Linked DNA regions of Macaca fascicularis. The protein of the gene in region 1 binds, or shares a complex with, the protein of each later gene. Links are inferred from orthologs where the notes say so. Each region holds a gene or a part of one and is shown on either strand. Other genes may lie near its edges. The genes, in order: RAB1B and TBC1D20.

Region 1 (4,365 bases):
CCTCCGCCTGCCAGGTTCAAGCAATTCTCCTGTCTCGGCCTCCCGAGTAGCTGGGATTACAGGCACCTGCCACCATGCCTGGCTAAGTTTTGTATTTTTAGTAGAGACAGGGTTTCACCATGTTGGCCAGGCTCGTCTCAAACTCCTGACCTCAGGTGATCCACCTGCCTCGGCCTCCCAAAGTGCTGGGATTACACGTGTGAGCCACCACATCCAGCCCCTGGCTACTCTTTTTATGTTTTGTAGAGACGGGGTCTCACTATGTTGCCCAGGCTGGTCTCAAACTCCTGAGTTCAATCGATTCACCTGCCTTGGCCTCTAAAAGTGCTGGGATTACAGGGGTGAGCCTGGTCATCCTTTGGTTTAGAATACTATGGTGCTCACCAGATCTTCCCACCAGTCCCGGTCAGGGAGGGCTGATGCCCCCCTCCAGAAAAAGCTAGCCCAAAGGGCTCTCAGCTTGCTGAGTCTAAATTCTCACTTTATGGAGAAAGAAATCAAGACACAGAGAGGGACGTGACCTGCCAAGGCGACAGAGCTGGGTATCCTACCCTGATTTCTGAGACTTCATGGTTTGGTACAGTAGGGGCTATTTAGGGAATCCCCAGTACATGACCTGTGGTATGCCTGGCTTGGCAGGGGAGGCCCCAGAAGTAGAACCCAGGGCACAGTCTAGAACTTGTTAAGTGAAAAACCCATGTAAAGAGACAGATGGCCAGGTGCTGTGGGGTGTGCCTGTGGTCCCAGCTACTGGGGAGGGTGAAGCAGGAGGAGGATCCCTGGAGCCCAGGAGTACATGACCAGCCTGGGTGATGTAGCACGACCCTGTCTCTCTTTTTTTTTTTTTTTTTTTTTTTTTGAGACGGAGTCTTGCTCTGTCACCCAGGCTGGAGTGCAGTGGCCGGATCTCAGCTCACTGCAAGCTCCGCCTCCCGGGTTTACGCCATTCTCCTGCCTCAGCCTCCCGAGTAGCTGGGACTACAGGCGCCCGCCACCGCGCCCGGCTAGTTTTTTGTATTTTTAGTAGAGACGGGGTTTCACCGTGTTAGCCAGGATGGTCTCGATCTCCTGACCTCGTGATCCGCCCGCCTCGGCCTCCCAAAGTGCTGGGATTACAGGCTTGAGCCACCGCGCCCAGCCATCTCTCTTTTTTTTGAAATGGAGTCTCACTCTGTCACCAGGCTGGAGTGCAGTGGCACGATCTCGGCTCACTGCAACCTCCAACTCCCGGGTTCAAGTGATTCTCCCGCCTCAGCCTCCAGAGTAGCTGGGATTACAGGCACGTGCCATGACACTTGGCTAATTTTTGTATTTTTAGTAGAGATGGGGTTTCATCATGTTGGCCAGGATGGTCTCGATCTTCTGACCTCGTTATCCACCCGCCTCAGCCTCCCAAAGTGCTGGGATTACAGGCGTAAGCCACCGCGCCCAGTCCACCCCATCTCTTTGGAAACAACAACAAAAAACCTGTTATGAAGTCACCAGGAAGAGGTGGTCAAGTTGCAATGAAAATTGCACTTAAGGCTGGGTGCAGTGGCTGACACCTGTAATCCCAACATTTTGGGAGCCCGAGGCACAAGGATCATTTGAGCCCAAGAATTTCAGACCAGGCTGGGAAACAGATGGAGACCCTGTCTTTACAAAAAATTTAAAAATGTGCCAGATGTGGTGATGTACCTCTGTATTCCCAGCTACTCAGGAGGACAAGGCAGGAGGAATGCTTGAGCCCAAGAGTTGGAGACTGCAGTGAGCCATGATCGTGCCACTGTACTCCAGCCTGGGTGACAGAGAGAGACCCTGTCTCAAAAAAAAAAAAAAAAAAAAGGTAAAAGGTAATCACATTTAATAATATTGAGTTCCAACTTGTGACTGTGTGAAGTCACACAGTTGAGTTCCCTGTGTGAAGTACTTCAAATGCATCATCTCATTTAATCTTCGCAACAGTCCAATGAAGTCAGTTTTATCATTGTCAACTAATGAGGAAACCAGAGGCCAGAGAAGGGAAGTGACTTGCCCTAACTTACACAGTTTTTCGCTTTAAGACTCAAACCAGGTTTGTCAGACTCCAAAGTCCCTGCGAGAGCCTGCTGGTTCCCTTCTCTGTTCCCCTCCCAATCCAGCTCAGAGCTTCACCCTTCCCCAAGGAAATCTGAGACCTGGATGTGGAGGAGAAAAAGGAAGTGGCAGAAGAGGAAGAAGATAACTGATACTTGGGGAAAACTATTAGTCCTGGGCATGAGATGTGGGCCACCTACCCGCAGAGGGAGTGACCAAGAGTGAGGAGAGTTTGAGGACCAGAGAATCCCGCTGGAAGGGGGAGAGCAAATTCCATATTCATCTAAACTTCACAAGCAGTGTGACAGCCAAGGGAAGGGGTGCGACGGTGGCGTTGGGGGCCTGAGCAAAAGCGAGGAGAGGGCGGGAAAGGACGGACCGTCGGGAGCGACAGGTCAGCGTAACCCAGGCAAAGGGTAGGAGGCAGCCCCGGAAGAGAGGACCTGCGGGAGATGGGACTCAAGCGGCGCTTCGGGGCCTCCCGCTTAGTTGGCCAGTTTCTGGGCCGGCCCCAGGAGCCGGGCTTCAGGAGAAAGAGAAGGGTAGAGGGATTCACTGCCCGACCTAAAGGGCCCGAGCCTGAACCCGAGACCAGAAACTATCTAAAGACGGGCTCCCAAACTCCAGGACAGTTGTCAAGCAGCAGGTGGGGAAACTGAGGCCTGAAGTGACCGGGACTGCGGGGTCATCTGACCGATAAGGCCTGGTAGGGCCGGTGTCTCGGGCTCCAAGAGCTGCCCCTCGGGGTCGCCACGTCTGGGCCCCGGGTGTGAGAGCTCGGGGTGTTGAGCCGGGGTCCTGGGGCCCCTGGGGGGAGGGGCAGAACCCGGATGTGAGGGGGGGGGGGTCAGCGGAAGAGGGACCCGGATGTGGGGGCGCCGCACAGTCCTGACCCGGGCCAGACAACCCCGGTAAGCGTACAGCCCCGTATTCGGGATCGAGGCTGCGCTGGACGGCGCGGGCGGGGCTCACTCACTATTCGGGGTTCATGGCGGCGGCGGCGGCCCGCTCGGTCGCTCCCAGTCGGCTCTGCTCCGCCTCCCGTTCCAAGATGGTGGCCGCTCCGCCCCAGAGGCCCCGCCCGCGACGCGCAGGCGCAAACGTCCTCTTCTCAGGCCTCGCCGCGCTGGTTCTCGGAACTTGTAGTCTGAGACGTTCTCCAACTCAGCCCCGCTGCGCAGGCGTAGTCGGGGAGCCCGTGCCTCCGCGCCCACTCCCATCACTACTGGCGCATTGCCTTCTGGGGCTTGTAGTTTGCACGCCGGACGCACCTAGGCTTGAGCACGATGCTGGAAAGCCTGACGGCGTCTCGGTGTTTAAAAAGCTCAGTTTAGAGCTGGGCTTGGCACGTTTCACATCTGTCTGACGGAGTCATCCTTACCCTCCCAATACCCACGTTGTGAACATTAAATGAGAATGTGGGATCTAGCAAGACTAGTAAAAGTTCACTTGTCCAGGGTTCCTCGTGTACTGGGCACTCCTAACTCGCAGCCGCGTGTCATCACCCGCATTTCATAGATGAAAAAACTGAGTCTCGGGAAACTCACTCAAAGTCAAAAACTTTGTGAAGAGCAGAGCTCGTAAGAGCCCGCGGTCTCCAGAACCCCACAAGTGAACGTTTTAGGGAAAGCCTGACTTGTGGGGCCCCCACCCAGTTCCGGGGTGGGCCAGAATATCTGGGCCCAGCTGCGCGGACAGCAGTTGAGCGAGACACACTGTCCCCCACTCACGCGCGACCCTTCCCGGCTCCACCCGTTTAGAGACGCGGGGGGACCCCGACCTCCGCCTCAAAACAAGCCCGGCTCAGATTCAAACCGTCTTTATTTCTACAGCAACATCTGAAAATAGAGAGCAGCCGCCTCACCCGCAACAGGGGGAGCCCCTCCTGCCACCAAGGGACCGTCGCCGCCCCTCGCGAGAAGCTGCAGGCGTGGGGAGAGGCGTGGCAGGATGGCTCGGTGGGCGGTGCCCGGGGCGGGGTCGGGCCGTGCCTGGGCGGGGCCGGGCGGGAGGGGCAGTGCATAAGGCCGGGATGCGGGGCAGGGCCCGGCGGTGGGAGGACTGACTAAGGGGAGGTCCCCGTCCTGGGGCACGGGGCGATGGCGGGGTAGGACGCATCCCTCAGAGGCCAGGAGGAGCGCGAGAAGGTCCCGGGAGCCACTTAGGAGGCGCCACTCCCGAGAATGTGGAGCCTGGGAGATACCACCGCACGGAATGGGGGTGATTAAGGCCTGGGCGGTACCACTAGAGGAGGGACGAGGGGAGGCCCGGGTAGTACCGTGGACTGAAGGGTGGGGCGCGGCCAATAAC
Region 2 (3,983 bases), on another chromosome or scaffold:
TTGATGGATACAAGAGTTTGCTGAACATTTGGGCTGAGTCCTGTCTGTAACCAGTTTAAATTCATCTCCAAGGATAATGGAATGCAGGCAGCCCAGGCCCGTGTGTCTGGCCTCTGACCGCAAGGCTTTACTACCTCCCCACAGATTGTGTTGTATCGCGAGCAGGAAGTCCTGGACTGTGACTGTGACATGGCCTCGGTTCACCACCTGTTGTCCCAGATCCCTCAGGACTTGCCCTATGAGACACTGATCAGCAGAGCAGGGGACCTTTTTGTTCAGTTTCCCCCATCCGAACTTGCTCGGGAGGCCGCCGCCCAACAGCAAGCCGAGAGGTGAGCAAGGCTGGGATGCTGGTTGAGTGGGGGTGGCTGTAAATGAGCAGCTAAGTGAGGGAAGGTTTGTGTCTGGTGGGACAGGATTGGGGCATGTTTTCAGAGATTGAGCTTAGGCCAGTGGAATCCCCACTGTAGACATATGGGTCTTTATCAAGAAGAGCTTTCCCAGCAATGAAAGGCTCTGCCCGCCGCCTATGTGGTGTAGTTTTTCTTTTCTCCTCTTCTTTCATACCACTTCCTTCCTTCTGTCTCTTTCCCCTGCAGGACGGCAGCCTCTACCTTCAAAGACTTTGAGCTGGCATCAGCCCAGCAGAGGCCTGATATGGTGCTGCGGCAGCGGTTTCGGGGACTTCTGCGGCCTGAAGATCGAACAAAAGATGTCCTGACCAAACCAAGGACCAACCGCTTTGTGAAATTGGCAGTGATGGGGCTGACGGTGGCACTTGGAGCGGCCGCACTGGCTGTGGTGAAAAGTGCCCTGGAGTGGGCCCCTAAGTTTCAGCTGCAGCTGTTTCCCTGAAAGCCAGAGAAGACCTTCCTCTTACATCACATTAAGGTCTCACCCTTCCATGGAAGGATTGGGCGGGGTGGAATTTCCTTTATTAAAAGGGTTTCTGTCTAGAGTTTTCTATTCCTGCCACCCTGCCCTGCCTGTTGGTGTTTGCCTTTACTTCAGAGGCCAATAGGAGAGCCTACCTGACACAGAGGGCACTTGGGGGCCTGGCACAGAATCTTATGCCCCTCCCAGTGGGCTTCTGGATGGGCTCTCTGCCACCTCCTGTGGTGGTGGAGGAAGTGGGTTTCTGAAGCTTCCAGCTGCCTTTGCAACCTGCTGGGCCTGGGCTGCCCTAGTTACCGGGAACCTCCTAGTTACCCCGTAGAAAGTGAGCTGGAGCACGGGATGCCCTCTTCACTGCTCCTGGTCTGCCCGCATCCAATGAACACAGGAGGAGGGGCTGCTGCTGAAGGAGTCAGGCTTGAGATTGAGAACAAGAGGCCAGAGGACTCGTCTGGGAGCATGATCGGCCCCTCTTACTAGCAGCTCCGAAATCAGAGACAGAAGGGAACTAGGTTAACTTGTTAAATCCTACTTATTTTCCGCCTAGAGATTGCATGGGCATTTCCAGTCAAGTGGGAAGGAATGCTCATTTTTAGGGCCTAGACCTAGACTAGTTTTGCCTGCCTTTTTTTTTTTTTTCCTCCCTGTTTTCTTCTACAAGCCACAAAACATTGCTTATAAAAAGTACTTTTGTTACTATTTTTAGAATATATACACCCCATATGTAAATTACCCTCACTTTTAAAGTAATAATAGTTCCTTCACAGAAAAAAAAAATAGTTCTCATCAGAAGGATGAGCTTCTAAGATCCTGAATTTTATTTTCTACTTGATTAACATTTCACTTTAGACAGAGTTGCTATTTGCAAACAGCTTTCCACTTCCAAAGTGCCACTTTCTGACCAGTTTTTCTTCCTGTTTTCCTCAAATCATACTACTCCCACATAGGCGCCCATTCACTACCTTAGCGTCGTTTTTTGGGTCTGATTTGTCTCGTCAACTGGTCTCTCCCACCTGGTTGGAAATGTCATTGGAAACTTGCTGGCACCCAGAAAGGAACAAATGGAGCCTGAAGAGCTTGGCAGGAGCCTGGAACAGCCAAATTCCCTGCCCAAGCTTCTCCAAAGACTCTCCAGGCCTTAGGGAACAAGAGGCATCACTCAGTCCTTCCGGGACAGCTTCCCTCTAAGCAAAGCCAGGTTTGTTTTAGATTAACTCTGGCCTGAAAAAAAAAAAAGTGCCTTTTGCTGCTTTAAATAATTGGGGTATATGGTATGAAGCAGCCATGTACTTGTATTTTCCTGGTCTTTCCTGGGCACTGATCTCTCTTGGCAGGTGTTTTCTTAAAGTGAACACACCAGAAGCACTCCACCCCACCATATCCAGACCTCCATGCCCTCCTTGCATGCCTGTTGTGTGCAGGGTGGAGGGTGTCCCACATGCCAGGCAGCTGGCGAGCCAGAGCAGCTGGGAGCCCTGTCCACTGAGTTACACTAAGCACTTTATTTTTATTTATTTTATTATTATTTTCTTTTTTCTGAGATGGAGTCTCTGTTGCCCAGGCTGGAGTGCAGTGGTGCAATCTCGGCTTACTGCACCCTCCATCTCCCAGGTTCAAGCAGTTCTCCCTGCCTCAGCTTCCTGAGTAGCTGGGACTACAGGCATCTGCTACCATGCCTGGCTAATTTTTGTATTTTTAGTAGAGATGGGGTTTCACCACATTGGCCAGGCTGGTCTCAAACTCCTGACCTCAAGTGATATGCCCGTCTCGTTCTCCCAAAGTGCTGGGATTACAGGTGTGAGCCACCACGCCCAGCCACTACGCACTTTAAAACCAAAAAAAGCTCAAAGTGATGGATCATTGTCCATGGCAGGAGCCCCACCTTGGGGTAAGCCTAATGTAGATGGATTAATTTAGAAAGTGGTGTATTTATCAGGGCAAAGGAAATTCTTCCAGAGGTGATGATGCAGCATATATTCCCAGTGCTCTCCCACAGCAAGCTGGCCCTCTTGTCATCATTTCAGTGGGCGGCAGCAGCTGCCCCTCCTTCCACAAGCACTCAAACCTGTTTGTAAATACTGAAGGAATTGATGGGGTTGAGGAAAAGAGGTTCATGTGACCAGGGTCCCAAGGCCACAGCTTTTCAGATCCTAGGAAGCAAGTGGCATTTGCTTGAGTTGTGGCCTCCGAAGGATCATGTTTATCTGTTTTGTAACTTTGCTGACACCAGGATTCTCCCTGTCATTGAGAAGAAAGCATTATCTAATTACCTTCAGGTGGTTTACTTATTCTGTAAAGAATATGTGTAAATATTTTGTACAGAGCCCTGTATCAAATAAATAGCCATATGTGGTTACTAATCACCTCTTCTGTCATTCTGTCCTTGCCCACCACTCAGTGGGAATGGTCTCTGATCTGGATGCTCCCCACCTTCCATGTCAGGCCCAGAACTATGCCGTGGCCTGTGGATCGTGGTCGGCCTTGACTGGCTAGGAGACCTTGGGCAATATCTACAGTCCTGCTGTTTCTATTTCATCTGCAAGAAGTATGACCCACATGCTCCAGCTGCTGCCCAGGGCACCGTGATATTTTATGTGTGTGTGTGTGTGTAGATGTTTTTGTCCACAGTTCTGGTTCATCACTTCCATAGCCCTTTGTTGGGGCACTGCAGGCCTCAAAAATGGAATCTCTGTCTGTGACCTTATGCCCTCATTTCACTTGCTCAATGCCAGACTCTAATCTGACTGTAGCTCATAAGACCCTCATTCCAGAGAGGGTCCTGCCCCATACCCGGGAAGGAGGAACACTGCACAGAGAGATCAGGAAGCATCTAGACCGACAGGACTTGCTGGGTTTAGACCTTATGCTTTTTGTCCAGTTTCATCTCAACATGGTTGCCATGCTTCAGCCATGCCTATCCAATGATGTCTCCATAAAAGGCCCAGGAAGGTAGGCTTTGGGGAGCTTCTGGAGAGCTGAACATGTGGAGGGAGGGAGGGGAACGAGAATTTGTCCATGTGCCAAGAGGATGGCACACCCCTACTCCATGGGGACAGAAGCTCCCTCATTTGCCCAGGACCCTTCCAGAC

Evidence for each region.
Region 2: the proteins of RAB1B (region 1) and TBC1D20 are in contact, whole or in part, in a crystal structure (PDB 4HLQ), measured with the Homo sapiens proteins. The link is inferred for Macaca fascicularis from reciprocal best matches to the Homo sapiens genes RAB1B and TBC1D20. Residues at the interface, in NP_112243.1 of Homo sapiens: Ser17, Gly18, Ser36, Tyr37, Ile38, Ser39, Thr40, Ile41, Gly42, Val43, Asp44, Phe45, Gln60, Trp62, Ala65, Gly66, Gln67, Arg69, Phe70, Thr72, Ile73, Tyr77, Glu94; in NP_653229.1 of Homo sapiens: Gln97, Gln98, Leu101, Asp102, Arg104, Arg105, Leu107, Arg108, His141, Tyr142, Tyr143, Gln144, Gly145, His147, Asp148, Phe177, Met178, Asp179, Pro180, Thr181, Met182, Lys186, Val212, Ile215, Leu218, Ser219, Thr223, His227, Met272, Ala273.

The regions. Positions count from the first base shown.
Region 1 is NC_088388.1:8,121,446-8,125,810, forward strand, and holds the start of RAB1B (ras-related protein Rab-1B), read right to left. Parts: upstream 3,104-4,365; 5' UTR 3,046-3,103; coding exon of another isoform or gene 3,032-3,045; 5' UTR 2,339-3,031; coding exon 2,256-2,338; intron 1-2,255. UniProt on the Homo sapiens protein: The small GTPases Rab are key regulators of intracellular membrane trafficking, from the formation of transport vesicles to their fusion with membranes.
Region 2 is NC_088384.1:86,973,997-86,977,979, forward strand, and holds the end of TBC1D20 (TBC1 domain family member 20), read left to right. Parts: intron 1-144; coding exon 145-332; intron 333-599; coding exon 600-855; 3' UTR 856-3,254; downstream 3,255-3,983. UniProt on the Homo sapiens protein: GTPase-activating protein (GAP) specific for Rab1 and Rab2 small GTPase families for which it can accelerate the intrinsic GTP hydrolysis rate by more than five orders of magnitude. Also shows GAP activity for RAB18 GTPase.